Linked DNA regions of Lepisosteus oculatus. The main gene of each other region encodes a partner of the protein of the gene in region 3 in a complex. Links are inferred from orthologs where the notes say so. Each region holds a gene or a part of one and is shown on either strand. Other genes may lie near its edges.

Region 1 (10,165 bases), on a different chromosome or scaffold from region 3:
GAACACCCGAGAAAGCTCAGTTTTCCACTGAGGGTGCCTTTGTGGTACAGTGGAGTTCAGTTGCTAAAGGATACTGCGTATCTTGCAGCTGGGACTAGGCCTAACACACAGCACTCAAACCCTGGATAGGGATGAACTATACCAATCTCATGAGTGGAAAACACACAGTTTGGCCCCAGTTCTACAAACTGCAAAATCAACACTGGTTTCCTTTCAGACACTATCCGAAAAAAAAAATACATCAAACAAGTTTGATTTTATTTTATTTTATGTTTTTTTTGAATAATAGGCACATAGTTCACCCTTTCCCTGCATATTCCAGCTGTTACTCTGCGCAAATGTAATGATGATAGGCTAAGAATTTTTCAAATTTTCTTTAAAATCTTTCTCCATCATGCACTGATCACAGCTGTCTTTAAGAACAGAATGATTAAGAATAATTCTGATAACTCAGCTAGTTCACTATCTTCTATATGGTATGAACTGGAAGTCAGTGAGCAGAAACAAAACCACACAAACATCTTTTCTCAACTTACGACCTACAATCTGAGTTCACCTGAAACCAGTTATCAACATAAAATCCATTTGTGTCTTTAGACCATCCTTTAAGTCCACAGTTGCAGCAGGGTAACAATGTATGTCATGCTAAAGGAAGCAGTCAATATTTCAGTAAGAGGTGAACAACAAAAAGTATTTTCAGGGACAAAAAAGGAGAGCAATCCACCGTTCTTGTTTGCTTTCCTTTCAGTATTTAATCTTTGTGGTTCAGAGTTCCATGTCTTCACCTCTGGCTTTTTTCTCTTGAGATTCTGCCCAAGCTTTGTTGATGGTTCGCTTCATTTCATCATCACCTTCAGAGTAGATTTTCTTTAGCATGCTCATGAGCCCTTCACTTGGGTCAGCGTTCTCATCAAAACTGGGTTTTCTGGAAGGAAACAAATGAGTCCAATCATCAAAGCCTTAGGAATTGTCAAATGTTAACTTACAATTGACAACAATTTTCTCTATACATTTAAAAATGCAAGTCCCGATAATTGTCACTTTCCAGTTCCAATAAAAACTAAATCTATGTTAAATCAAAATGAAAAAACCAAACCACGATTAGGTCAGGTGTATTAAAAATTCAAACGTTTTTTTATTCCCCAGATTTACCTTTGATTTAATGCAAAAATTAGACATTTCACTTTTGTGCAATGCCCAATATATTGCAACTTGTAAAAAGAGATCTAATTAAGAAACCAAAACACTCAGGATGACAGTAAGTGATCTATCACCAAGCAATCTATTCAATCTACTTGGAAAAGTACACTATCTAATAAACAGCACAACTTAGCTTTCTGAGTATAGCAATACTTACTCTTTATCTTTAGTTTGTTTTTCCACCTGGGTCAAGCACTCCCATTTTTTTGAGCTCTTCTTTTTACACATCACTAAGACCATATCTGTTTTCACCTACGAAGTTAGCAAACAGTTTAGACAACCAACCAAATAAAAACAATGGCAAACACAAAGCACGTGCTGTGCAATATTCGAAACTGATTTTCCTACAAAGGCGACTTTTAAACAATAAGATCACATGACACATATATTGCAAAAGCTTATCTAAACTAGTTTACAAGGTTTAGCAATTTCACATATCCTGATTTAAAAAACCAGTATCTTTACTGACCTTTCGACAGCTTTCCTGTATGTCAATGGGTTGTAAGAGGTTGTTGACAGTCATTTGGTAGTTCATTCCTTCCAGATCTTTTACAAGCAAGACAAAAGACCTACAGAAAACACATATATATATATTAAAGTTAAAATGTTTTTAATGTGGAAGTAAGAAATTATGGCATACAAAGTTATTCTTTAATAATTTAATACCTTTATTAACAATATTTAATACAACTTTTAGAGAAGAAGTGTACTTTCAACTCTGTTCTTACCTCTCTGTAAAGCTTGCCTCAATGTTTTCCGTTGAGATCTTATGGACTCCTTTAAGAGTAATATATATTTTTATGAACTTATCCGATTGGTCCCATCCTGCATGATAAATAGGGAAAACAAAGATGAAAAAAAAAAGTTGAGAAGTGCAGTTTAAACACAAAATGACCGTTGGCCGCTAAACGCAATGGAATCATCATACTGAATGCAGACAAATCTAAAACAGATTAAACAATCTTAAAACAGATACAACACTACAGTCAACAAGGTTGCAGTTACAAGCTGTGCCTCAATAAAGAACAGAACATTTTGTAAGAAAAAAGCGCCAGCTGTTAACACAGAACTCTAGCTTTCCATAGACAAAGATAATCCTACTTTATTTGATTTTGGAATTAAGATACATTCCTTTTTGATTTTCCACAGATGAGTATGATCATATTTAACAGAAGAACATCGTGCTTTCTTTTGCAGCTGGTAACTTTGCCATCAAGAACAGGGAATTATAATATCCTACTGATTTTGCTTTTCAAGGAATATAAGAAGGGAAACTTTAGAGAGTAGCTTATAAGCAAAACAGAATAAAAAGAACCAGCTGACAAATCATTAGAGTTTTTTTTTACCAGACCGCAGGTTGAAAGAAAAGAAATTACCGTAGTTATTGATTTTGACAGTGTAGCCCTTGGCGGCTGAGGGCACAGCTTTGTCTGAATCAGAACCTTCCTTCTTGTTCAGCTGCTGCTGCTTCGCTGTGATTTCTCTCTCGAGCTTCTTCTGCTCTGCAGTCAGGACATCCTGAATTCTCTTTCTCTCGGCGATCTCCAGCAAAGACTTGACCTCCTTCAGGTCACTCTCAAGCTGAGAAATCTGAAAAAAAAAACCCCAGCAAAAACAAGGACCAGAAATGATTTTTAGGAATGCAAGAAAATAAAGAACGGATACAAATTAGAGAAGGATGATCAATCCATCTAGCCCCTTTTTGTAGTTAGTCTATCCCATGTTATTACTTGTAATGACATTTACAGTAGATATGCCAAGAAATACTGTCACATATACAAAGAAATTTCCGATAATTTAGTTGCGATGCATGTTTTATGACCATTTAGAGATGGAAGAAGAACCAGCCATACTCTCCAGGGTCACAAAAGGCAGCCCAAAGCAGTTTGTGCATACTAGCTCACACGTTGTAAGAGTGCATTCTCTAGAACGACCTTGACTCTGATAAAGTCAAGAAGCTGTAGAAAACATAACTACTCTTCTCTGTCAAGTCTGGACTGTTTTTCCATTAGGAGTTCTTCTGAGAAACGGGAAAAAGCATTACACTGCTCTTGTATTAGCAGTTCTAGAAATTGCGGGGAATATTGCTAAACTGTGTCATATTTTTGTTTTTTGCATGCAAGAACTGTTTTGTTAAGATACAAAAAATATGTTAGAATATCTGTAAGACACGTCCATTAGACATTATTTATTTACATTATTTGTACACTTGCTGTCTTTGTTGAAAAAATAATACAATTCCTGTTATTAGGTAGTGACAACTGGTCTATATAAGCATAAAAAGGACATAAAAGTAAAGGCTTGCTACAGTCTTAAAGAAGGAATATGACAATGCGATCTTTTATCTTTGTTGGTTTACTTAACATTTTAAAATATCAACATTAAATCAACTGAAGAGCTCATTATCAGGTAATAAGTACATTAATTAACAAGGTTAGAAGACAGATGTTTGTTAGTCTGATAAGCGTTTTTCGTCTGTCAAAAAACCCACGTGTTAATTACGTGAGGAGATAAAATACAATCAGAAACATACGTATGTATATGTAATAAGAGAGAATACCCTTCAGAATTAACTATAAAACTACCAAGAAGGATACATTGGCAGTTATGTTTGCAAAAAGTTAACACCGAACAACGAGCAAATAGGGTTGGATTAGTAATCAATACGGTTCGAAGAAATATCGTTATTTTTCGATGCAACACCTTTGCTAGATTCAATAGCGCACTGCAAACGCTTCTGAGTCCATGGTCTAAGCCATAGTGAACCTGTTGTGAAAAGTTAATGCACCTGAGCCCAAGAAAAGTATTATGCATCTAAACAAGCTCATTGGAGGGCACAATGTTTTAAAAGGTAGGTACTGTTGTATATAGTTTCTCAATCAGTTATTTTATCTACTTACCTGTTCATTGGTGCCCATTGCAACAGGGAGCAGAAATTATATATCACCGCTGATTTACTGTATGCAGCTCGTACAACGGAGTGTTCTTTTTCTATCGCAGACGTTTTCTTAAACAGAGTTTATAATGTTAATACCAAGTAACAACAGCAGTGGTTTTCATATAATCGCCTGTCACAATACCACACTACTTTCGTTTCTTCTACAGCATTCTAGAAGATTTCTTTCACGCAGCCCGGACTCGACGTGCTTGCGTAGGTCGGCAAGTTTTAACGTCATTTCCAGGCTACAAAGACTACAGCGATTCCCTTCGGCACGGACTTCCGGCGTCGCGCTCACTCTTGGAATTATGGGATACGGCGAGTTCCGGACTACGCGACCTCTTCCCCACTTGTCCTTTTTTTAATCCAGATCCGTGAACTCCCATGATTAATAACCTCTGTTGAAGATTAATTTCGGTATAGCAGGAGGCCTTCCTTGCTTTATAATCGGTGCTCTACAAAAATTGATGCATTTTCTTTTCAAGCCCATAACTTGTCAAAATCCTCAGTCGTTTAAAATAACTTATTTTATGCTATAGTCTACTTTATACAATAATGTAGCTATTAAAAACAAAAAAAGGTAAATACATGAAGGTCTGAAACATTAGGCTTTTAAGTCACCTTTCTATTGAAGATGGAAATTTACATTGTATTTCCTGACAGGATTCCAGTGGATATAAGAATGTAGCCTTCATTACATAGACCAACACTATCAGGGCCAGGAAAGTAATTTCCAATTGAGAAGCAAGTCTAACTTTTGATTAAATGCATGTCTAAAATTTTAAGAAAATAAAAAGAAAAACAGTAAATGCTCCCAACATCCAGGTATTTAATTTATTTATTATTAGAATTGATTCAACACAAGTGCAATGACATAGTCTACATTTTTTTTTCTTCCTTTGCTACAGTTTCCCAGTAACAAAAGCAACAGTAATAAAAAGACGAGAGTGCAGTGGAGTCCTATGCCACTGTGCCAACTGTCCCTTGTTTGCAGCTCTACTGCGCGAGGAAATCCCAATGAAGAGGACTGCTACCACATTGCTCTCTGGATTCCCGACATCTGATTGTGATCAGCGAGGTGGCGGAAAACTATCCGGCTCAGTCTCCACCTGCGCTTCACCCCTCGCGGCCGGGACGTCATCACACACCTGTTCCGGATCCGGACTGGGCAGCTGTCCCGTGGCAGGGCGGCAATTTCTTTATCGGCTACCTCCTAGCAGAAGGGAGAAACAGACCAGAGCAACATCACGCGCAGTACCGGCTTGCTTTTAACTCACCAGCTTCCAGAAATATGTGCATCTGCTCAAGGCACATAAAAACACAAAAGGGCAGGTGACAAACTTTACTTTTAACGGTCTTCTGATTGATGCCGTTAGTTATTTAGAACACTGTATCGTTCATTGCAGCAGTGCTAATGCAGCTTTTTCCTCTTCACTATCCTTTTAGTCAAGGTCTGTTCAAACATCATAGACATCTGATGTTTGCATCTGTAGAGCTGCAGGTCAATTTAAAGTGTTCTAAAGCTTTGAAAAATACCAATAAAATGCTGATTACATTGTTTCTGACCACTATATGCTGCAGTGCAATTACAACACTCTCCTTCGAAGAATCACCAAAGTGTGCAGCAACCAGACACTAAAATACAGTAGAGGTTCTACTCAGTAATTTCCATATCTGAGTCACATGTGGCTTGTCGGATCTTATCCTGGTTTGTGCAGCATTAAGTAAATGACAGAGCATTTGACATTACCCTCAAGCCAGGAGGGCACCAGCTCCCAGCAATACTCATTTACAAAGCCTGAATGGACCTGACCAATTAGTATAGAGACCCTCAGCAGAGAACACTTTAATCCACACCCCACCAGTTAAAGATCCAGAGACTTACCCACAGTGCACCAAAGAGAATAACAGTACAGAACATTAATTAAGTTAAAAAAAGAAATACAGGTAGTGCTAAGTATATGCGACTCAATCAAAAAAAAAAATCTCTAACGGCATTTTCAATTAAAAGAAGATCTCTTCAGTACCTGCAACTCTTTTGGCAAGATTGTGTTCTTCCTAATCGCATTAATCCGGAGTCGGTCATTTGCGTATTCAAACGCCATTTGTCTTCTCTTCACGTCTCGCAGCATCCTCCAGTCCACATAGTAACCTCTGGCCTGTTCCACATTACATCTGGAACTTCTCAGGGTCTGACAAGAGGAAAAGAACCGAAATATTGTATTATTAAAATAGCAGAGAATGACGCAAAATGCGCTTAATCGGTTTTAAATAACCGTGCTTAACTCCATTAACAGCATTTAAAGCGATTTTCAACACCTTATAAAAATCTGCACATCCACACGTAATAGGCGTATGCTACATAATTTTAGTGAGTATTCAATTACCTGAATCTACAAGGCTCTTATTTAATTGGGATGTTAAGACACGATAGAGCACTTGATTAAAATCCAGGAGTTTTCTTTGCAGATGCAAAGTCTGCTTGAAGAAAGCTCTGGTTCCGTTTCAGGTTTTGTGACCGAGTTTCAGTTATCAGTGAAGGGTCCACAGAAACAAAACATCATGGGGTTTGTATTGCCGGGGTAGATGCGCTTCTGCGAAGATATACGAATTCTGTATTATTGAGACACAAGGACTGAAAAGGGTAGCGCACGTAAAAGGTGTATAGAAGGATGATAAAAGTTATAAACTGCATGTTCTAAATGTTTCTGCAAGACAATAAGAGGTAGAAATCATCTTGAGAAATGGCTGGTAAATTTTAAAAGAAAACGATTTTTTACTATATTGTAAGTCGTTCCAAATGCTGTACTCGATGAGATACTTGTGTTTTTCACATTGTGTTTATTGGATACTGCCATTACCTCTTCAAATGCCCAATATAGAAGCCTGTATTCTAAACATTGAGAAAGTCACCTGCTTTTAAAAGATTTAAGTGTTACCTGGGTAGCTCTCCAAAACGAAGACTGCAAAATCCCCAACCCCGAAGCGACAAACCTCCCCCATATGGAAGCAGCCATGTTGCATCGTGACTTTCAAACCACAACTTTATTTAAAAACGACATCCGTCCACAGTTCACAGAAAGTGTAGACTACAACATCAATCCCATGGCCAGAAATGTTAAGAATTAATATTTAAATTCACAAAATAATTAACTCTTAAGAGCTTTTAATCATACTGCATGATTTTTTTTAAAAAAAGTTTCGTGTCAGCATTCTAAAAATACTTTCCATTCCGGTTATTGTTCATTTTCCGTTATAGTAGTTCACCTGTATAAGAACGATTAGCATCCAAACATTCTTTAACAACTTCAGGATCGAGGGATAGCCGGAGCCCATTCCGCAATTTTTCTATCTAAAAACAAACATTATTCAGTAACTCCGTAGTTACTACACTAAAGCCATATATTAAGGTTTATAACAGACCTATTTTAACTTTTGCATTGTTATGGCTGTCTTGATTAATTGCATTGTGCTGGGTTACATGTGAGCCAGAGACCCATATATTATATTCTTCAATAAAGACGAAGAAAAGAATCGAGATTCAAGAAGTGATGCAATCACTAATAAACATAATTGACAATTAGCAGGATCAAACAATTATATAAAAAAACTGCAATGGGACTAATAAAAAGAGGGAAATCGTGAATCGCAATTCAGAAGGAAGCGCAGGAGTAAAATGCAAGTTAAAAAGTTTCTGACATTAGTAACCTATAAAGTGTACTTGAGGTTAAGCAAGATTTTTAGTGTTTTACAGTAAACGAAGAACAGAATCTGTCGAACTCGTACACTAATTTTATAAGGACGTCACGTGGTAAAAACACAACTTCTAAAATCATTTTGAAATCGTTTGGAACATAAATTATTATCCCCCAAATAGTCCATTTCGTTGAACACATTGCGTACATCATTGATCGGTAATGTGATTTTTTGGGAAAACGTATTCTCAATCCGATTTGGAATGACCTGTTAGGTTCTTTCCAGGACCAGAGGTGGACATGCATGGTGTAAAACACTAGGACTCATCATCATTCCTAGAGGGCTGCAATGTATGTCCAAAAACGAGCACTTAATTAATCTAATTACGTTCTTAATTAGGTTTTATTTTAGAACATGCACACATATACTTACAGACTATCGCTTTCAAGGTGCTGTTGGGGGGCAAGGTCCCTGACCTTTCTGAGCCTTGAGGGGAGTTTTACATTCTTGCAAGTAATTAGGTAATTGACGAATTAAAAAGCAGAGAATGGAACTCTCTCAAGAGTCTGACACGAGAAGACAAGGGAGACCCTTCAGGTATATTACTGTAAATCTGACACCCTCCCTATTTGTGTGTAAGATCTGACAGTGACAGTTAGAGGGCAGCATTTGATCGCAGCATTTAATTTCTCTTTAGAACAATTTCACCATTTAACTAAAAGCACCATATGATCTGGACTATTTTCCACTTTTTTTAATCTGGTGGTACTCTCTAGTATATGACCTGATGCAGTAGACACACTGTAGCATTCCCGTAACCTGATTTTCTTAACCATTGAACGTTTTAAATGTTGAGACTATAAATATCTCCTTTCTGATCATCATAAGGCCGTCAAACAAAACTTCACAATTTTACATTCTGACCGCCTGTTCTACACAAGTGAGACACAGCTTTTAGTTTCGACAGAATCTGCTATACTGTATCGCCAGCAAATACCTATCGAAAAGCAGCTCATATAAATGTATTCGTTTGTTGTTGTTTTTTTTTGCAGACAGTTAACTGTCATTTACACCCAGGAAACATGAAGAAGACTTGCTTATCTTTTCAGGTAACGTGTCAGAGCGCTGAGGATCGAAGACGCCTCCAGGCAGAACAGTCCTCGGTTTTAATTATCGCACTCATGATTGCGCTGACCTCTCTGTATCCCTTTACAAGGATTCAAAGGCTTCTGTGCAAAAAAAAAAGACTTCAAATGATTAAAATCATCGTGGGACTGGTTTCCCACTATCTCCTACTTTTCCCCAGTGAGCTGCCAATCTATGCAATTCCCAAATTGTGCCTCAGTCCATTTTAACCATTTGTAGTATTTGCTTACACATAACATACAGTATACTGTATATGTCTGCAATATTCATAATTATTAATCAGATCAATTTACCAGACCGTGAAAGCAACTCTGATGAGGCGTGAAATAATTTGCATTAGTTCTGCTACTCCTGAAATATAATAACGTGTGTACCACGCAAACATAATTGAAATAAATATGTATTTCTTGAGAAGCGTGACAGTATAAATAAGACGAACGTTTTAAATAAAAAAGCGCCACCTATTCTGACTTTTATCATTGTTGATTACGCAGAGATGCTTATTGATTCCTATAGATAGTTTTTACAAGAGGAATTCCAGGCATTTGATCCTTTCTTGATGATGAAAAAAACCTCAATTTGTAAAATTTGTACGATTAAGAAAATATATCTTACAAGCTTTTGCCTTAAAGGTTTTTAATGAAAGGAGGCTTGCAAGGAGACATTTTTACCCTTTGACCAGGAGGTGGCGCACTTGTCTTTGAGTATTTCAAGGTTGCGAGCGGTGAGCTAAACTAGTACCATTGTGGGTTGTTTCATTTCTAAACACGCCATGGAAGTTTTATTTAATGTTACTTATAAGATTTTGAGATGATAGCTGATTTAAAATTCGAATGGTAACAGCCTGAATGCATGTCATCACACCAGGCTGTGGACATACTCATGCTCAAATGTACTTTGCTACATGATACAGTCCAGCCTGCACAGCCACGGGGAAAGATGAATGTATAAATCATATAGTATTGGTACTCTCAATCCGATATGTCAGGCTTAAAAGACACATAGCAGAAGAAGATGTTTTTATGACTGAAGTGAAAGAAAGGACTACATCACCAGTGCTAGCCCTGTGGGCTCTGTGTGTGCTTTAGCACCTCCAAAATGTATTGATCAGACTAGTTATTAAAGCAGGGGGAATGCAATTTTAATGTGTTAGCATTCGGGAGATTGTTGTGGGAATTCACAATG
Region 2 (9,830 bases), on a different chromosome or scaffold from region 3:
TGGAAATAGCTCACAGAAGTCCAAGCTGCATCAGCTGTGCAACAGCTGTGCCACTGACTGACTGTGGCAGGAGGCCTCCAGCAGCATTGCAAACATGTCCAAACCCTACAAGGACAGCACGACACTGAGCAGCAAAATCCCGTATTTCAAGTGACACACGGGAGCCCTGGCTCTGGCTGGGCATCAGCGGAGCTGAGCAGCGCTACTTGGAGCTGCTGCAGATTCTTAATTTTCCTGACACTTCTTTTACTTCATCAAGTAAGCTAGCATTTACTGTGCACAGCTACTGGAAACACCAAGACAAAAAAAAATGTCAGTGAATGAGACAAAGAAAAGGCAGCTGCTCTAAGGCACTGAGCAGGAGAGCCAGCTGCTCAGAGAACAGTACCTTTTTTTGTTTCTAAGCTGCTGGCCCGCTTAGCCTCCTTGCTCTCCTGGTTGGCCTTGTCCTTCTGCTTCTTCTTGCTGGTGCTGTCCTCTGGCCCACGAGACGGTCTCCGGCAGCCAGCGGCCTCAGTGGTGCTGGCCATCTTGAGCCACTTGCTGATCGCGGACTGCCCACTGGCTTCACTGGCGGTGTCTGGTTCAGGGGTATGGCGCTTTCTACCTGGCCCAGCTATTTTGGCGACTTTAGATGGCAGAACTCTCCCAAACAAAACAAAGGGCCTGATGGAGAAGGGAATGAGAAGACTGATCAAAGCTCCAGCTTTCCTATAAACCTTGACAAGAAATCTTCAGTCTGTAAAAAGTTCCTGAAAATACTGTTTTTTAAAATAAAATAACTTATCACTTCAAAAAGGAAATCTAAAAAACTCAATCTATACAAAAGAGCAGTACTGCATTCTTAAGAAAAATATCATACATTTTCAGCAGAATCTAAAGAATGGCGTTTGCTCAAATTGTTACACAAAGCAATTGGGTCCTGCAAGTGTATAAAATTCTGCAGTTTTCAAATCTCTTTTTGAATCTGTTATTCAATGTGCCCGAACAAGATGCAGTACGTTTCTACCTGTTTTCATCAGCCCTTACGGTACCAACAAAAATCAGGGCAAAATAAAACACGTTTTGACTTATTGACCTTATATCTTTGGACTGACCAAGAGACAGTCCTAGGATATAATCAGGTTTTAAGCAATTTTTGTACAAAGTACAGATTCCTGCTCAAGGAACATGTTCTACAAAATACACCACTCATTCTTATCATCAGACTAAGACACATGCTAATGAAATCTGAAATAAAACTTTAGTCAGATGTGATTAGTAACTAGCAGGCTCATTTTGTAGTGCATTACCCATTTTATTGTCACAAAATAGTCATTGGTTCAAGCAAGATTAACAATAATCTGTACCCTGCCATACCCTAACACAATTATACAAACATCTTCCACCAAACCACTTCCAAAGAATCAGCTCCCTCCTTTGGGTAATCTGAAATATTTAACATTATCCTAAAAACCATTAATGAACCAAGATCATTCTCAGGCGCTAGAAAATGACCTGCTCAGAGACTTTCAGTGCAATGCTAGTCTACCATGCTACTACAAATTGCACACATCTTTCATTTAATAAGCAGGAGCTGGTTATGGAAAAGACCACTTACAGCCTACAAGCTATTATGGCTTAGGAGAAAAAACAAAGCAGTGAAACATGTCTGCGTCATTTATGATGCTATTTAAACAATAAAGTGGTGATCATTCCTAAATTAATGAGATTTGACTACAGTGGAGATTAGATTATGGTTCTTTACTTTTTTAACATTATCCTTATTACTTTATTGAAGTAGACTTATTAAATATACACATTATAACTATAAAGGAAAAACACAAATGTTACTTTTATTTTAAATAAGTATAAAATGTATTCACAGGTATCTCAAACTAAAATAATTACATTTAAAGAACACCAGTTTATTATTGCAAATAGAAAAAGCAATTGCTTAAAATGTAAACAAAAACAGATTCACCAAAATAGAGAATTAAACTCAATAATTGTTTAGTACAATGTTAAACTATACATCTTCAGCTGTAATATGTTCATGCTAAGGAACTGAATTTACAACATCTTATAGCAGATTTCTTTTTCCAGAACTGAAACACAGGAAATGTTCATGACTGAAGCCTTAGAGCCAATTCATCACAGGCAATAACAATATGTCAGAATCCAACAAGCTCAGTTAATGTGCCTGCTGTTTCAATACATTTTTAAATGAAATACTGCAAAGAACTTTTGTTACTGCAGTTTTGGATAATTTAAATAATACATGGGAGATTCTGCTATGTTAACAAATCAGTAGCTTGATACTGTAAAACACAGACTTTGTGTCACATGCAAACTACTGTTGTTCTGTAGTTCACAACAGGGACAGAAAACTTGCAATTATGGAGTCAACATAGAGTGTCTCGTCTAATATTCTGAACATTAACTGATGAGCCTAACACTCAGTTGTTTACATTAAAAGGCATCTTTACTTAGCCATTTAAAAAATATTTAAAAAAAAGAATTTGCAAATTCATTTTTTATTAAAGAAAACTGACAGTCATTTACAGTAATTCAGAATGTCCTAAGCCAATGGTATTATACTTTAACTTAAGGGATGGTTTTGAATACCAAGATAAGACTTGCTTACCTGAAATAACCTTAGGTACAAACACAAGAACATAAGACAGGGTAAAACAAGAGAAGGTACTTAATGCACCCGATGTTTTCATCCAACTGATTATTGAAAAAAGCCAAGATGTCAGCTTTGACAACGTGGCTGGGTAGCTTGTTCTAGACACCTGACTACCCACGCCTCCTGTTCCCAATTTTAAATGTACTTCCCCATAGTTCCCACTTATATTCTCTTGTTTATGTTTCACTGTAGGCTCTGCAGAAGTCCAATGGGTTGACTCTGTCAAAGGGCTTGAGAATTCTGAATTAGTGGACACAGTCTAAAAAGATTCAATTCTTCTGGCTTGTCTCTGTAGGACAATGAATGGAATGAATCTGATCGCTCTTACCTGGACTGATTCTGTAGAAGCAATATTTTTTAACATGGGAACAAAAAGCGATACACTATCCTAAAAATGGGGCTTTAGTCACGCATTGTACAATTTAAATATATCTCAAGATTTAATTTATATACTTTTAAAAACAATTCGTACATTATTTTTGTTTCCATCAGGTCTAGATAATGTGTCAACATTCCACACAAGTCTTCCATCTTATATTAAGATTTCATATTTTTGTTACCTGCAAGTAATATCCTGCAATCAAAGATCCCTTATCATTTCATTTCTTAAATGTATGATGTGAAATTTACACTACTGCAGCTGTTGAACTTTTACCCTAATCACAGGGTAATGTGGGAATGAGAGTAAATGAGATACTGTATGCTGCATTTAACCAGAATTATATTTCACTGAAAAATCCCACGTGATTACAAGACTTCTCTCCTGATGGACAGGTTAAGACAGTGTCAGCTCCTGAAAATACAGAACTCTTTAATTCAAACGACGAGATGTAGATCCAAAGGGCTCCACTGCGTCAAAGGCCAGTACATTTTCACCTGCAACTCTTCTAAGGCAGGACATACAAATAACGAAGAGCGTGGTTATTAAGACTATTGTTTTAATCTTCGAACGAGATCTATACAAACCGGCTTTGCGGTAATCTGACAAGACAGGGGGGACCCAGGCTTCATTGTGTGCGTAAAGCAAAGAGAGGCCTATTATCCTTTCATTTTTTTTTACATTGTTTTGTTCTTTTTCGTAAAGCCTTCCCAACGAAAAGGAGTTTCAGCACAGATCGGGTGGCTTACTGTAACATCCAAGTGTTAGGTGCATAATCAACCAAAACATAAATCACAGAATCAAAATACCACTTTCATACTGCTTTATCCTTTTCCCTTCTGATTTCGTAGTTTGCATAGAATTGTTCGCAAACAAGGGCAAATAAATGAAAACCCGATTACTCTTGCCAGCTTGTGAAGTCTTCGGGATTACGGAACTGCCAAACCGTATTGAACCCGTTCTCTCATTGTTTGCATTGCAGTGACAGTGGTTGCATAACAAAACCACGTTTTCCAAACGGAGCCTCTTGAAACGGAGCGTTGAAGTTTCAACGGTAAGAAATCAATCCAGCCCAAAGGAGGAATTCCACCGTGTGCAAAGCCGTCGAGGTAGCGAATCGCCAACTTAATGACAGACATCTGAGCAGCGCAGCATCTATCACAGTGATTAATGTGACCATGGGAGAGAGCTGTCCAACCTCACGATTTAACAAGACATCGATAATCATTTCTCCCAACTAACGCATAATCCATGTCAATGCAAAGCATAAATAAAGCGGCTTATACTCACAGAGTTTAGGGGCAGACGGTGTTGCTCATGTGTTTTGTTTTTTTTCTGATTCCTCCTGCGACCGGTAGCCGGCGAGACAAGACACTCCAGCCCGAGGCTCCGCAATTAGGCAGCGGGCAGCGGGCCGCTGTCCGTCCCTGTCCGAAACTGGAGCTCAGCACACCGGCGGTATCTAGAATTTTCTAGCCCGGGCCCATCCCGTGTCACCTTATTGAATATTTCGATAGTGAATCTGGAAGGGGGACGCTTTCTGTCGCGGCTGAAAACTCTCTTCTCCAACTCTTTCTCTCACCGGCCTCAGCACAGTGACTCGCACTTTGTTTAGGAACAAAAACAGCTGAAACCGAAACCCTCAACACAACTACTTCCTGAAGCCACAAGGAGTCGAACATTGACTCTCGTCACATGACAGGGGTGCATCTGATTTTGTCAACAATAATGACAGCAGTCACACATATTGGAAAGAAAAAAAGGGGGAAAAACACATTTTGGAAAAATACAGACAATATTTATACACAGGCGGTTATATGATGATAAATACACAGAAACACAAAAATGTTACTCGGACGAAAATGTAGAATAGACTAGTTTTATCATTGTATACGCAACCTCTCAGGATAAACAATACTTTGATCCCATCACAACATGGTCAAATGTGTGAATAATTTAAATCTCATTGCTATGATACTGGATTCCCCTTCTCAAATTCACGAGTCTCTCAAATTAGTAGCGCTCATACCAGTTTTAAAAACAATATATCCTAACCTATCTACTACCATTACAAACCTGCAAGGGTTTTTGAAATCATATGTAAATTGTTTTCCTTTTTCCTTTTTTAAAACCCCAATGTTTCAATTATCCAAAGCTATTGTATTATACTGTCACTGCAGAGTTATATTTGCAGAAAAAGAAGTATAATATTTTGACAGATTCAGATGCATTATATGGTCAGGAAACAGTGTAGTGTCATTGTCCATTTCTCTGTTTGCTGCTTTGTCTTATCGGTATAGCATGGACGTATAGTGACTTCTAATGCAAGTGACTAAGTGTGTGTGTGTATACAGGCAATTCTGAAGACGACCATATTGTATGAATAAGGACCCCGTAAAATACTTGAGTAGAGGAATATTTAAAAAGGTCTAGTACCGTCTTACATTTGATTTATTTAAAACATGTAAACAGGTGTTCTTTTTACTCGACGAATAGATGTTTTAGTACACTTTAAATACAGCGCGACCCGTTTTTAATTGTGAATGTGTGTACGACTGAACGTAGGTATATTTATCTTTCTACAGTAAGATACACGCTGCGCCGGTGCACAGCGGTTTTCAGTTCTGCTAGCAGGGCGGCGTTGTGGGTTGAAGTAGTCTTCTCGTCTCTTTTAAAAAAAATACATTGTAGCAAATTATTGGGTGTTGTTAATAAATATACATTCGCAAGGGATATTTGCTGGACAGGGGTTGAGCCAGAATGGCGGATGAAGTTCTGTTTCAGTTCCTCCACAATGAGCTCATACAGTATGTTTACAAGTCGGCTGAGCATGGGGAGATGGTAAGTATTGCATCCAGCGTGTTTTATCGTGAACATACAGTATCGTGTGGCGACATTAACTCTGACCCGTTTCAAATGATGCAAAATCACTTTTTTAAAAGTAATTAGTCATTTAAAAGTGACATTCTGTGAATACTCCAGTGCCAGTTGTTGCCATTTTACACACCGGCTGTTGAAGAGGTTCACGCTTCCAGCTTCAGACACCTGGTGGATGTTGCTCTGAAAAGACGGCAGTGGGAGACAGTGATGTATGTACAGTACGCACTATCAGTTAATTCAAATGAATTAGTGCAGAGAAGAAGTTATCGTCCTGTAAGGTACAACGTATAGCACCATATGGAAAGTCTGCTTGTCGTGTCAGATGACTGGGTTACACTGCCTCAGTTTACGAAAAACCTACAACAAAGGGGAGATTAGAAACTATGTATTAGTGGTAACGTGCTTATTAACATTTCTGTGCGCCTCTATACCTAAGCCAGGTTAAGTTTTAATGTGATCAGTTTTACTGTTGTTTTTTTTGGGGGTTATTTCCAGGAGAATGGGAGATGCATAACAAGACTGGAAAACATGGGCTTCAGAGTGGGCCAAGGATTAATAGAAAGGTATATTAAAAAACATTTTTAAATAATTATTTATTATTATTATCTCTGATTCACTTTATGAGCGTGTCATTTGGAATTTATTTGGACCTTAGTACCAAGTACCAATCCACTGGGTCCTGTTCTGACAAACGTTTTTTTTCAGATTTGTACTGAAATGTACAAATCTGAAAAAAAAGTTAAAGATCCACTTAATGATGAGATATAAAAAACATATTCACAAGAAAATATCAGAAGACTTCATTCTACGCTTTAAATAGTGATAGAGACAGGTGTGTAGGAAACAGTTCTGCTCACGGTTGTATCATTAGCATGGAGAATACTGTACAGTTATGTCACTGAACAGGTAAAGCTTAATTTCATGATGTAAGGTAAATTAATTCCTTACATTTTATACACCTTTTTTTTTGTGGACACTGCACATAAAGCGCTTTATAGGTAATGGGGACTCCCTCCACCACAACCAATGTGTAGCCCCCATCTGGATAAAGCGACAGCAGCCATACTGTGCCAGTATGCTCACCACACACCAGCTATCAGTGGGGAGGAGAACAGAGTGATGAAGCCAATTCATAGATGGGGATTATTAGGAGACCATGATTGGTAAAGGCCAGGGTGAAATTTGGCCAGGACACCGGGGGTTAACACCCCTACTCTTTTTGAGAAACGCCATGGGATTTTAAATGACCACGGAGAGTCAGGACCTAAGTTTTATGTCTCATCCAGAGAAGAAAGGTAATGGTAAAGAAACTTTCTTTACCTTTCAGCGTGGAATGAAGCTTTAGTTGTTCCTTTGCAGCCTACGCATGCTGACGCAGCTCCCTACTCTTACTGTATGTCAAGTTTGTACATTGTCTTGATGCACTGTTTGCACTTTGTCTTGTTTTTTACACTTGTTTTACAATCGAGAGACTTTCTGTAAGTAAGAATTCCATTGTACCAGTACCGGTTACATATGGCAATAAAGTTCAAGTTCAAGTTAAGTAAAACCTCAAAATAATAATTATATTGGCAGTCCATGATGAATGTCATATATCTGTGTCAATATACCTTTTTCTTACCCTCAGCAGGGGCAAGGAAACACATGCAATTTGCCAGATGCTGAAAGTAATTTTAATATTTCTGCCAACAACATTTAAATTACAAAGTGTTCTGGGTGAAGGACAGGAAGAGATTCCCATGTTGTCGAAGCCTTGGTTTTTATTAAAAACAAAAGCTAGTTGAGATCCTTCAGTCAATTAGCTACTAGTAATTGAAAGAGTTATATAGGCCTCTTGTCTGTAACCATTCTTGTGTTCTTAGATTCCCAGGGAGAAAAACTGTCAAGTAATTACCTTTAGCCAAGGACAGTGCCTTTTTTATTATAATGAATCTTGTACGTTGGTGGATCCTGTTAGAAAGGGAACTGTAAAGTATTGTTCTTATTACCTTTCATTAGGGGGGAAATCATTCATAAAATACCAGTTTACCAATGTTTATGGTGTTATTGTATAACACCAGTAGTATTTCTGAATGATTTTTCCACTTGTAATGGGAGTGAAAATCAATAAAAGACTAAATTACTGTATTGTCTCCTGCCAGGTTCACCAAAGACACTGCACGGTTCAAAGATGAACTGGATGTCATGAAGTTCATTTGTAAAGATTTCTGGACCTGTGTTTTCAAAAAGCAAATTGATAACTTAAGAACAAACCATCAGGTGATCTTTTTGTCTGTACTTTATTTTTACTATCCTATGCTCTACACATTTAATTATAATTTGACTGAATAAGTGCAAAAAAAATAATGCAAAGCTGTGTAAAACAATATGCCATCTCAGACAAGGGTGTTTGCTAAGTCAATAAATTATTAATAATAAATGCATATTGACCTTTGCAGGGAATTTATGTGCTACAGGATAACAAGTTCCGGTTGCTGACACAGATCTCTGCAGGAAAACAGTATTTAGAGCATGCACCCAAGGTAAGACAATGCTATATACAGTACTTCCAAAATAAATTTAAAAAGAACAAACTATATTCATTAATAGGGTCCTAGATGTCGTTGAGTTTGCTGTTTTTCAGCTGGGATTATTCAAGTCAGTGCCAAAGAGAGATATTTTTAAGATCAGATGATTCCATAGAAGATCACACAGTACAAGCTTAGAATATGATCAGTTGTAGCTTAAATTTCAAATGAGAACTTAAAAAATAAACTAAATGTCATTCCTGAAATTACTAAAACACACGCACTACACTTAGTGGTATAAATAGGATGAGGGTTTGTATTTGCTATTTTCCATAGAAATAGAGAGTGTATAGGTACAATGGAAAGCCATCTATAATGCTGGCATCATGTGAGTAAATGAGTGCAGATAATATATATTACACTGTAGATACATTTTTGGCATCCTTGAAAAAGAAAAGGCATGGCATCCAAAATCGTATTTTACTGAAATTCCAGTCTTCAGCCTTCTGCATTGTTTAGTTTCCTTTTTCTCTGCTGTGTGAACATAGATCAGTTGAAATTTCAGCCATTTCATTTTAAGTACACAACAAAAACAAACAAAAAGCATCCTTTCATCTTTGTGGATGTGTAGAGGAACAAGTGATGTTAATGATTAGGAACACCTGACAGTGAGTCCATTGTATGTGATTGTTAAAGATGATGGATTAACTACAACGGCACTTCATATTCATGTATGGTTTACCCTGAATAGCTATGATTAGGTGTTTGAAAATACTGGTCAACATAATTTAAAGAGATTGCTTTTTGGATTCTCACTCTAGGCTGTATTAATACTGGCAAACCTGTTTTATTAGTAGAAAATAGCAGTGGGTGCTTTGAGGAAATTGTACATACTATGTACAGGTATATGTTGTAATCCCTGATGGTGTCTAAGATAAAGACTTTTGCACAGAAGCGTATCTCTCTAACATAATCAGGTGTGGTTTTCAAAATCTGGTCCCAAGTTCGTCCATTGGCATTGAACCCACTACACATCTAACAGGTCAGAACATGATATACAGTTACCCTTTGTGTTTTTAATTAATGCACAGTACTTCCTCATTATCTGCACAGATTGAGGCAAAGTGAGACTGGAAGGTATTAGAGTTATTTTGTTTAAGGTGATAGGCCTAAAAGGACTGTACACTGTGTTGTTTTTCAGTATTTGGCATTCACCTGTGGTCTGGTGAGAGGAGGACTGTCAAATCTGGGGGTTAAAAGCATTGTCACGGCAGAAGTCTCTGTGATGCCTGCATGTGAGTTCACTTGCTTTCTACACAATTCATGAATAGACTGTTTTATATCTCGGTACTGGTCTCAGCTGGGGACATTATCTTTCATGTTCCACTTTAAG
Region 3 (10,604 bases):
TTCCACAAATTAAACTAAAACAAAAACAAACGAATTTCCACCTGTGCCAGCTCTTGGGGTCTGGGAGTTTGTGCACGCTTGTCCTTTTGGAGTAACTGGCTGCAGCTCAGCCTGATCCCCTGGCACTGATTTGCTCTAATCTGGAGTGCTAACAACCCTTCTGTTTTCACACCTTCAACTCCCACACTGGCAGCTACTTTACATTGTGCCCGATGCGTGAAGATTAAAACTATCTGCATTCCTCAAAACAACACGCAGGCTAGTCTGCCTCCACTCATCGCCCTCCAGCCTCCCAACCACCTAGGCAAGACAGAAGACATTAGAGATAATGGCCTCACAGTGGATGTCTGAGACACTCTAGTTAACCTCATTTAGTAGTTCCGGAAAGCACTCTGCTATCTGTAACTTTTGACAATTTAATTTCAAGTTGGAGAACATTAAGGCAGGAGAGAAGTGAAGGCTGACACACAGGTACTTCAGACAAACTATTGCCTATCCTGCAAATTATTCATTTGCCTTTAGCAACACTCATGTTTCCTGGACACAAGCTCTCAGCTCCATGAAGATAAAAGAAAATGGAAAATTAACAAGAAAGTCCCATTTCCAACAGCAGCTATACCACATGACAAGATCAAGCAGTCAGACCTCAGCAAGATCTCCAGGCATGGCTGAACTTGGTCTGTATTGGACCAAGAAGAAGAGAGGAGGTGGCTGCTATACCTGGCAGACCAGTATATGGTGCTCTTTCCTCTGGACCAGAAATACTAAACCAGCATGGCAAGTGTGACAGGACTAAATACCTTCTTTTGGACAAAGCATTAAATCAAGAGCCCGAAAACTTGGCCTTTAAAAATCAAGATTTAAGAGCTTATTAAGGCACCCTTAATAAGAGCAGAGCTGTGAGTTGTGGTGGTCAGGTTAAATTTCACTCTTGGATTGTAGTAGCCAGCCTCAATAAGCTTCCCCAGGTCACAGGTGGGTACTGTGCTTCAGTGGTAGATGAGGCAGGTTCTTGCGATGCCTAAAAAAAAAACCTTCGGACCATTTAGGATGAAAAGCACAACATGAGTGCGAATAATTTGATATCATAACAGACCTAAGCTACGTATGTGACAAGCTGTCCAGATGGTTGCAGTAATGGTGAAAACTGCTCCCCCAGCATCTCTCCAAACCACAGAGTTTTAGACCATTCAGCAGGAATGTGACCCCTCTGATGTGGATTTGTGTTAAACTGGATGTGCCTAAGAGCAGGCATACATACTTTTTTGCTCTATAACTTCGGGGCAGTACGTGTAGCCACACTACAACACGCATGATAAACAGAATTCTGCTTACGCTGCATGCGCTGTGGGATGTAAAGCTTAGTAGCACGCAGGGAAGCCAGGTTTTTGTGAACAAAGGAATGCAAATAAGATGTTTACATAAAAAAAGGCAAACAGGCTATTTACATATATGCTTGCAGAAGCCCATGATGAACCAGGATATGGAGCAAATAAGGGATATGTAACATGATGCAAAGCAGATTCCATATGGAAAACTCATTATGAGTGAACTGCGTAATAAACAAACACCTCACATTACTGTTAATAAAGAACACTTGTCACAAACTCTCCTTTTATGCGAAAAATAAAACACATTCCAGGCACATTCCCATGCACTCCAGTAAATCTTAGCATTAATTTTTAAAATATGACATTGTTAGGAGGCTGTTTGGAGTTCTTGCTAGCCTAAAATATAAATTTAGCGGTGGCCCGGTTAGGTCTTTCAGCTCTGCTGCAGGAATTTGGGGTTATAGTGCAAATAGATGTTTTTCCAGCTCAAATCTTTCCAGGGTTCAGTGGGCTGTTTTGGAGCAGACGCTGGCTGGATATACCATACTCTTTTTCAGGAGGAACAGCAAGTTTCAGCTCACAACAATAACCAGACAGCACAGAGGCGAGACTTCAAAAATAATTGACACACGACCTTCATGGACATGAATACCATGGACACGGGCCCTGACTTTGGTACAACACTGCGATATGCATTGTAAAAGAAATACAAGTTATAAAACAGGATCTGTCAACGTAATATTTCTCCGTAGAGTATTTATTGTGTTTATCACTAAAATAAAGCACAAGTGGAAACAGGCATGTTTTTATTTCCTCTAAACCATATCTAATCTTTTGGAAGCTCTCAAAGGGCCTCAGTAACCCAAATCTTCAACACTAACGGAACACACTGAACATTTTCAAAACCAATCCTCTGAATTGTTCTCAAAGGGGACCTTGGAAATTCCCCGAGATATCTCAGCTGAATCCCGAAACGGCCAGCCCAGAAGCTGCACAGGCAAGACCAAACGAAAGACGAAACCCAAAACACAAACACAGACAGTTCAGTAATCGCCTACCCTGCAGCACTGAAGTTCCTGCATGAAGCATGTCCAGGCGCGAGGTGGGTGAGGGGCAGAAACCAGGGGTCCACCTTGCAAACGATGCTCATCTAACTTAACAGAGGTCTCAAAACTGAAGGGGAATATAGGATACCTGCCATGGCCACAGGAAACAGACAAGGGCCTATATCCTCATCAGACTACATGCACAAGTGCAGTTGTCAGATCCCAACTACCCAAAGAAGACAAAACAGACTTTTCAGATAACGTCTTGCATGTCTGAGAACTATGGCTCAGCAAAGGCTGGTGCCTTTTCTACAATGCCCAAAGGAAGCATTTACTCCCATTAAAAAGTAAAACACAAACGCCCATTAGAATACATTTGCAAATCTGCAATTCTGACTGGCACACACTTAAGTCACCTTAAGTAGCTACAGACTCAAGTACTGGCAGCAGAGCCTAACTGTACTGCAGCAAACTCACCGGAATACAACCGATGCTTAGTCAGGTGAGCGACTGATTAGAAAACTTAGAAGAGGTTATCACTGATAAGCCAATACACTCAAATTAACAGTAACCCTATTTCAGAAGCTGGGTGTCAATACCTACGGCCTGTAACAATCCTTCACATGTGTACTCTCATTCTGCAGCTGCCACTCTGCTGAAGGGGCTCTAGAGCAGAAATAAGTACCACAGACAAGCTCAGCAGGGACAGTTTTAAAGCAGATGCGAGGGTGATAAATCCTCTTAAGAAACAGAGGGCGGTTCACCTGCGTGCCCAAGATTTAGAGCTGGGATGACAGCTGTCTAAAAGCCCCTGAGTCACCCACTCTACTTCAGGATGAGGAGAGAGGTGGCATGTCCCACACCTATGGGAGCTATTCATGTACAGTGGGTCCAGTCCCCTCTACCCTGAATCAGGGTGGCAGCAAGGACAACTAGCAGGGTCCCAATAGCACCCCCTTTGCAATTAACAATCACCCCTTCACAGTGACCCAGAAACATTTGGGCAGTCACAAGAAAGTGTGTCAAACAGCCACAATATCATGTATCTGCTTTTACAACAGCAAATACATCAGCAAAACAGATGGACTAATCCCTACCTTAGCAAAGTGCAATGTAATGGTGACATTTAACTACATATTACACTGTACTGCAATATGGGATTTTTACAACACAAATGCTAGTTTTGCCTACAGCAGCAACGCAACTGCCAAAATATCGTGCAACATCTTTATCTCAAATGCTTCTTTAAAACTGGCACTAGGGGAACTGAAGATCTCCCTCACAGGGGGGCAAATCTCATTTCGTTAATGCGTTCCTGGGTCACTACTGTAACCCACGCAACCCGCTTTTGTGGAGTAAATCTGAACTTCAAAGCAGACGTAATCCGCTCAGAGCATCAAACATCTCTTAATGGTCCAGATGCAATCGTCTCGGAGGACAGCTGGTTCCGTACCCGTCCGGCGCTCAGGAGCTGCAGCGTCCGTCTTACAGACGAGTACATTCAATCACCTGATGCCCTCACACATCCTCAAGGCAAGAAGCAAGGTTTCGGCTCCAGCAGCACAGGCCGGGGTAGCAACTTGACCTCCGCCATGTTGGCAGCGAAAAGACATGCACCCAAAAACCCAAACATCACGGCACCGTCTGCCGGGCTCGGACAGCCGGGCGGCAGGGGATTTAAAAACAAACCGCAGAGGGGGTATTCAGATAGCAATAGTGTTTAAAAGATTACCGTGAGACATACACACACGCCCCCCTGCTACAGGGGTATGTAGGGGATGAAAGCCATTTCTCCTGTATGAGGTTAGAGAAGAGGTCGCTCTTCTAACGCTCCTGCTGTCTGCGGTCCTTCAGCAGTTCGGGGAAACACAACGATCGTTTCCATTTCCCGGGGTTCGTCAGCCAAGCTGGACATCTCGTAGAGCCGCTCTCTCAATCGTTTAAAACAACAACAACAACAACCCGGCTTCTGCGGGGACCGAGCTCAGCCTCCCCGCCGCGCACGCCTGCACCCAAACCGAGAGGCCCAGCAACCCCAGCCCGCAGGACTGAGCAGCGGCCCCCCCTTCCCTTCCCGGCCCGCACGCCGACGCCGAGTAGGCCGCAGAGCCCCGCCGCCGTGAAGGGCAAGCCCGTGCCCGGCTGCCTCCTCGCCGGCCGGCCGGGGCTGCGCCGAGGCGCCCTCACGGCTAACCCGGCCCGGCCCGGGGGCTCTCCCGGAGACAGCGGGCCGGCCCCTGCACACGCACACGCACCCCCGCTGTTAAATACCCCCCCAGCCGACCCCCCCCGACACAGAGAAGAGCCTTGGGGAGGAAGAAAAAAAAAAGCAGACCTCTACCTTCGTGCTCGCTTTTACCTTTCCCGGGCCAGGACGAGCTCAGCGACATGGTCGCGGCCACTGTAACGTGCTCTTCCCACAACAAAGCGGAGCCGCGCCGACCCGTAATCCCAACCGAAACCCCGTCCGGACCCGGTCCGGGAGGGGGTCAACCGCTTACCTCTGACGAAATGTCTTTTTTTACTTTACTTTTTTTTTGTCGCTTTCCTTAATTATCCCAGCAGGCTTTCCGCTCGTAATGTTTTTTTTTTACCCTTTCGTTGTGTCCAGTGTTTCTGGATCCCCACATCCACGCTGTGTGTCTCCACACACACACACAGAGACAGACTCAGCCGCCGGTCTCGGAGCCGCGCACCGACTGTTGTTGAAATACTTTTCCACGGGAACTGCGGCGGGCGGCGGGGGCGCGCAGCCGGGAGCGCGCACCAGCTTCAGAAAGCGGGGGGCGGCGCTTCCGTCCATCTTGGCACGGACGTCACGTGCTCAGGTGTGCGACGCGGTGACAGGTGTAAAACAAACATCCCTGTATCTTATTGCCGAGTAAACGGCGCTCTAAACAGAGGGAATCGGATCAGGGCCGAGTTGAAGTCTCTAAGGAACAGCAAAGGAAACAAAACCCAATACAAACCAGGGGCGTTTTAAAGCGGCGGCAATTTTGGCGTGGAGGCGTTAAGCATTAAGTGATACTCAAATCCTAGCCGACTATCATTTTCAAAATGTCTTAACTACAAGGAAATCATACTGTATGTTTAGACTGCATGTGTACTTCTGTTGTAGGTGTGTGGCTTCTAATAAAACAAACACTAAGTTCAGCTCAATGGATCAATTAGTTGATTTAATGAAGCAAATATTTGGACATGGATATGAAAAGTAACCAGAGCCAGTAGGAACAAAAATACAGCTCAGGAAATCACAATGGATTTTCGGGACATAAACAGTGTAACAGTTGTTTTGTAACGTCAAAACCAACGTTAGTGTCTTGTCTGACCTCCCTGAAGACTAACTCAGCCCTGGAGCACTGACTCACAGTCCTGATCAGCCTCTGGACCGTAGGCTGTCCGGCTACACTCTTCCAGGGCAGCTGCTGCCAGCTGGTCAGGGGCGGCCTGTCGTGACGTCTCCTGTTGAAGTCTGTAGTAATTTGGTCCCACAGCTGCTCTGTTGCCACAGAGAGACCCTGACAGTGTTTTCCTGAGGTTGTCCTGTTGTAATCCTGCCTGGGTGGTCTTGCATCATCCGTTCTGGAAAATGTTCACTTCCAGCCAGGCTTGCAGGAATGGAAGAGCTGTTTCCTCAAGCTCTTTCTTCCTCAGCAGTAGGTTTGTGGTCAGTCTGAACCGAAGGTGTCCTGGTGTTAAAGGAGACTCCTCTGCACATCACCACACCTCCACCACTCCAGCAGTTTGTCTTCAACAGTCAACATAAGGCTCATGAAGGTGTCTCCACACACCTTGTCTTCCATCAGTCTTACAAGAGCCCAACAGGAGCGGAGTGGTGGCTCTGTGGCTCAGGATCTGCGCCTGTGGCTGGAAGGTTACCAGTTCAAATCCTGCAGCCGGCAGAGGAATCCTACTCCGTTGGGCCCCCGAGCAAGGCCCTTCACCCCAACTGCTCCAGGGGCGCTGTATAAATGACCCTGCGCTCTGACCCCAAGCTTCTTTCCCTGTCTGTGTGTCTCATGGAGAGCAAGCTGGGGTCTGTGAAAAGACAAATTCCTCATGCAAGAAACTGTATAGGGCTAATAAAGTGATGTTATGTTAAAACAGCCAGGAAGTCAGGAAATAAAACCCTCCAGCAGTCACTCTGCTGCCACCCCATGTCCTCTGGCCCACAGCAGACAGCGATTTCATCTCCCTGCGATGACATGTTAGTGAGCCTTTCTGCACCCCCACCTGGCTTCCACAACACGCCGAGACTGAAGAGCCCCAGCCGACAGAGGACAGCAGCTCTGGGGTCCCTGTGCTGACAGGAGTGACCAGTGAATTGGGCTGCAGGCAGCCTGTGTCATTCCCAAACCAGAGCCCTTTCGACAGCCTGGCTACAGACGAAGACCGGGTGAGTTGTGAGACACTGCAAGAGGAGGGTAACTGCTCTGAGGCCATCTTAGAGACTGTGTGCGGCAGGGACACTTTTTCCTTGCAGTGCAACGATAATATGCCTCTGCAAGGACACACTTCTGTCTGCAGTACCAAGCACCTGGCTGTCTCGCCTCCTACTCCTGTCTGCATCAGAGACACAGACAGCAGGCAGGGTCACTCTGCGTCCTCAGACGAGCTCTGCCAGCTAGCGGGGAGCCCGGACTTCATCCCAGAGCCCGTCTCACAGCAGCAGGAACACAGGCAGGACCTGGAATTCATCTTGTCTCCAGACAGCGTCCGTCTCACTACCATTTCTCCCACACACATTTTCAGCACGGTTCAACAGCACCGATTTGAACCCAACGGGGAGCTCACACTGCAGTCCCGACACCAGCCAGCGGGCATTGATTTGGGCCAGAGCAGCGTCATGCCCGGTACCCCGGTGCTGCTGAAGAGAACCGGGCCTGCTCTTGTGTTGGGCCTCACATGAGGGTACTGTTCAGGGAGCCTGGTTGAAAAGGACCAACCAGGGACAGGCTGGATACCCAGGAAGATAGAAACTGGACTGGATAATGGATTTTGAGTTATATAATGCCGTTCACAACATGTTGATATCTGGTACTTTCCTTGTGTTTTTTAACATTTTTGTCCTAACATGTTTTTTTGTTTTGTTCTGCTTGAAGTGTGATGCAAGACAGTTTTGTTGTTGTTTTGTTTCAGTTTAACATGTGAGAACTGCCTGAGCTATTTTTGTGGTTCAATGTTTTCGGTGACACTTGCTTTTCATGCTTTTCGGCCTTTGCCATCGTTTAGGCCTCATTGTTACGGCGCTTAGTGAAGGACATTTACACAAAACATTTTCTTGATTTTATTACTGGTTTAGTTTAAAAACTTGTTATGGTTCTATTTACAATGTTTGTGTTTTGTCACATTTAAACCTTAGATCTGTTGGTTTAGTGCTGCTATTCAAATGCACCTTTCATATGCCAGCAGCTATATCACCCTGCAACTCACAACTGGCAGCCCACTGAAGCTCAGCAGGTGTGAGCCTGGTCAGTACCTGGATGGGAGACCTCCTGGGAAAAACTAAGGCTGCTGCTGGAAGAGGTGTCAGTGGGGCCAGCAGGGGACCTCACCCTGCGGTCCATGTGGGTCCTAATGCCCCAGTATAGTGACGGTGACACTATACTGTAAACAGGCGCCGTCCTTCGGATGAGAAATAAAACCGAGGTCCTGACTCTCTCTGGTCATTAAAAATCCCGGGGCGTTTCTCGAAAAGAGTAGGGGTGTTACCCCAGCGTCCTGGCCAAATTTCCCATTGGCCCTTACCAATCATGGCCTCCTAATAATCCCCCTCTATGAACTGGCTACATTCATTACATACATACATTAGCTGGTGTGTGGTGAGCATTCTGGTGCACTATGGCTAGGGCTGGGCCATTCTGGTGGGGCTGCACACTGGTGGTGGTGGTCAAAGTGCCAAACAGGGACTCAGGTTTACAGCAGCAGTGCCTTCCAAGCAGTGGAGACCATGTGTACCCTACTATTCCCAGCATTGTCTAGGTAAAAGATAACTTTGATTGTTCTCCTTTACAGTTTTACCTGGGACCAAATCTCTGCCATTGTCTTAGAGTCACTTCAAACAAAGACTCTTTAGAGGAAAGAAAAGGAACAGAATGTAGTTTTTTGTGTGTGTTTTTGTTATAATGAGTAATGGACACCTCTGTGTTTATTGAGTTGAAAGAGCTGTGGTCTATAGCAAACAGTTTATTCTGTCACTGAACAGGGTTTGCAAGGCACCAGAAATTGGTAAGCGACACTTGTGGGATTAATCAGATCTCAGAAGCAGAAGCTGAAATCCGCGTGAATCACATAAATAAGGTGACTTCCACTGTTCAGTACAGATTTGTTGGGTCCACTGGGGAACCTGTATGCAAAGTTTTGTATTTTTGTTTTGCAAAAGACCACTAGCCATAAAACGACATCAGACACAGAGTGATTGTCCTAATGTTGCTAACGTTGGTAATTGGGCATCCTCTTGATAAGCCTATAAATAAGGGAAATCAAGTTGGAAAAAACACTAAGCTCTCTCAGTAAAGAACACTCGTTTTCTCTTAAACTGGGGAATTTAAATTCAGAAACCTACTGAAATATAATTCAGATAAAAGCAGAAATATGTTACCTTTCCTTCACCCCTTTAATAACTTCTCTACTCTATAAGGTCACTTGATGAAACCAATTATTGGGGACAATAGTTTTGTTACAACTTTGGTGGCTGAGACATGATAAAGTTTGTGACACTGGGAAGAGTAAATACTTCTATCTTCAAAGCAGAGAGGATGTTTGCTGAGGTCTGGGGAGTCCCTTGAGCAGAAACAAGAATAGTAAATAATAGTAAAATTCATCTTAGTATGTCTAGGCAAGTTGAGCATTAATGATTGCAAAGGAGCAAAGCAGAAAGACACAGTTTCACATTAAGAGCACAGGAGAAGAGAAGCAGGAGGAGAAACAAGGAGAGCAGGGAGAAGAGAGGAGTCCGGAGGAGTTGGGACTTGAAGCTTGTGCCAAGTGAGTGCCCCTACCTCTTGATCATCCAAACCAAAATTGACTGGAACTGAGTAGTTGAACCTTATCAGTGTTTTTAGGGAACTTGGGTTTCCTGGGTAAAAGATACCTCAGTTAGAAACATCTTTCCTGATTAGGGTGAATTTTATGGATAGGGATATATGCTCCCATTTATTTTGTGGCATCCAAGGCGCAGAGAGAGAGACTTAACTGTAGGTTGCTTTGTATGTAGTTAGAAGGCAGCTCACCTCTTGTGAGGCCTCTGTAGGCATTAGTAGCAGTCTGGAGTTGTCTGGGTGACCAGAATGTTAGGCCTCTGAAACGCCTTATTTGTAAATTCTGAATATAATGTAACTTTGTGTGTTGTATGTTTTGTGTCTTGTGTAGTTTATTGTAATATCTGTTTTAACTAAGTGTGCCTGGATTATTACTCCTCTCAACAAAGCTGTGCCAGAGAATGAAGAATTCAGGTGTGCCTCTAGTTATACCAGCTGGGGTATATTGTTAGAAATCACATACAAGTTGGTGGTCTATAAATAATTATTTCACTGATTAAACCTCTATGTCAATTGCTTTGTTGTGTGTTGTGTCATTGTTTTAAAATATCTGTCCCACCCCATTTGTAACAATATACATATTAAGAAATAATACGTCTATTAGAAAAGTGTCAATAAATTATTAATCAGAAGCACATAGAGTCCAGGCAGGGTGAATAAGTGTCATTAGGAGTACAGTATAAAGGTACTGTTACTTTACTGTGACTCACTCCATCTCTAATGTTACAGTAACCCGTGTGTCTCTGTGTGGGGACAGGCAAGCTGGCATACAAAAACCGTCTGCATCTATATGGTATAATATATGACACTTTATGTGACTAGTTCAGGGTTGTGGATACTAGTATTATTCAGTTTAATATTTCTAATTAAAAAAGGGGTGTAATATGTCTTAATAAGGCTTGCGACCTACAAAAAATTGTGTTCTGTGAATGCACTGATACTGTTGAAGTAGTAGCAGACAAGGCCTTTTCCTTTGTCCGATGGGAAAGAAGTTTGATGTCAGTGACATCATAAGAGACTTGACTGCCGATTACATCACTGGCACACCGCGTAAGGCAACAGCAGACCTGGCTGAGGTCTCCATTCAGACAGCCTCAGGGCAGAAGCAGCAGGGTGTAGCTGGCAGTTAAAGGAGGCTGCTAAGGCCAACATTAAACCAGCAGGACACACAGTTCTGGCTGCAAGAG

Evidence for each region.
Region 1: the proteins of siah1 (region 3) and cacybp are in contact, whole or in part, in a crystal structure (PDB 2A25), measured with the Homo sapiens proteins. The link is inferred for Lepisosteus oculatus from reciprocal best matches to the Homo sapiens genes SIAH1 and CACYBP. Residues at the interface, in NP_003022.3 of Homo sapiens: Leu158, Gln159, Asp162, Ile163, Val164, Phe165, Leu166, Ala167, Thr168, Val176, Asp177, Trp178, Val179, Met180, Asn276; in NP_055227.1 of Homo sapiens: Lys59, Pro60, Ala61, Ala62, Val63, Val64, Ala65, Pro66, Ile67.
Region 2: the proteins of siah1 (region 3) and usp19 are in contact, whole or in part, in a crystal structure (PDB 4X3G), measured with the Homo sapiens proteins. The link is inferred for Lepisosteus oculatus from reciprocal best matches to the Homo sapiens genes SIAH1 and USP19. Residues at the interface, in NP_003022.3 of Homo sapiens: Cys130, Pro131, Thr156, Leu158, Gln159, Asp162, Ile163, Val164, Phe165, Leu166, Ala167, Thr168, Leu172, Val176, Asp177, Trp178, Val179, Met180, Asn276; in NP_006668.1 of Homo sapiens: Lys463, Pro464, Thr465, Cys466, Met467, Val468, Pro469, Pro470, Met471.

The regions. Positions count from the first base shown.
Region 1 is NC_090704.1:6,020,300-6,030,464, forward strand, and holds cacybp (calcyclin-binding protein), read right to left. Parts: upstream 4,362-10,165; 5' UTR 4,119-4,361; coding exon 4,101-4,118; intron 2,791-4,100; coding exon 2,577-2,790; intron 2,026-2,576; coding exon 1,929-2,025; intron 1,770-1,928; coding exon 1,670-1,769; intron 1,453-1,669; coding exon 1,358-1,452; intron 926-1,357; coding exon 766-925; 3' UTR 247-765; downstream 1-246. Other genes in the region: mrps14 (small ribosomal subunit protein uS14m), read right to left, coding at 5,169-5,351, 6,166-6,330, 7,078-7,155. UniProt on the Homo sapiens protein: May be involved in calcium-dependent ubiquitination and subsequent proteasomal degradation of target proteins. Probably serves as a molecular bridge in ubiquitin E3 complexes. Participates in the ubiquitin-mediated degradation of beta-catenin (CTNNB1).
Region 2 is NC_090699.1:56,114,569-56,124,398, forward strand, and holds the start of usp19 (ubiquitin carboxyl-terminal hydrolase 19), read right to left. Parts: upstream 4,721-9,830; 5' UTR 4,341-4,720; intron 667-4,340; 5' UTR 531-666; coding exon 389-530; intron 1-388. Other genes in the region: trappc6b (trafficking protein particle complex subunit 6b), read left to right, coding at 5,811-5,891, 6,426-6,493, 8,072-8,189, 8,369-8,452, 9,639-9,732. UniProt on the Homo sapiens protein: Deubiquitinating enzyme that regulates the degradation of various proteins by removing ubiquitin moieties, thereby preventing their proteasomal degradation. Stabilizes RNF123, which promotes CDKN1B degradation and contributes to cell proliferation.
Region 3 is NC_090715.1:1,593,117-1,603,720, forward strand, and holds the start of siah1 (E3 ubiquitin-protein ligase Siah1), read right to left. Parts: upstream 4,077-10,604; 5' UTR 1-4,076. UniProt on the Homo sapiens protein: E3 ubiquitin-protein ligase that mediates ubiquitination and subsequent proteasomal degradation of target proteins.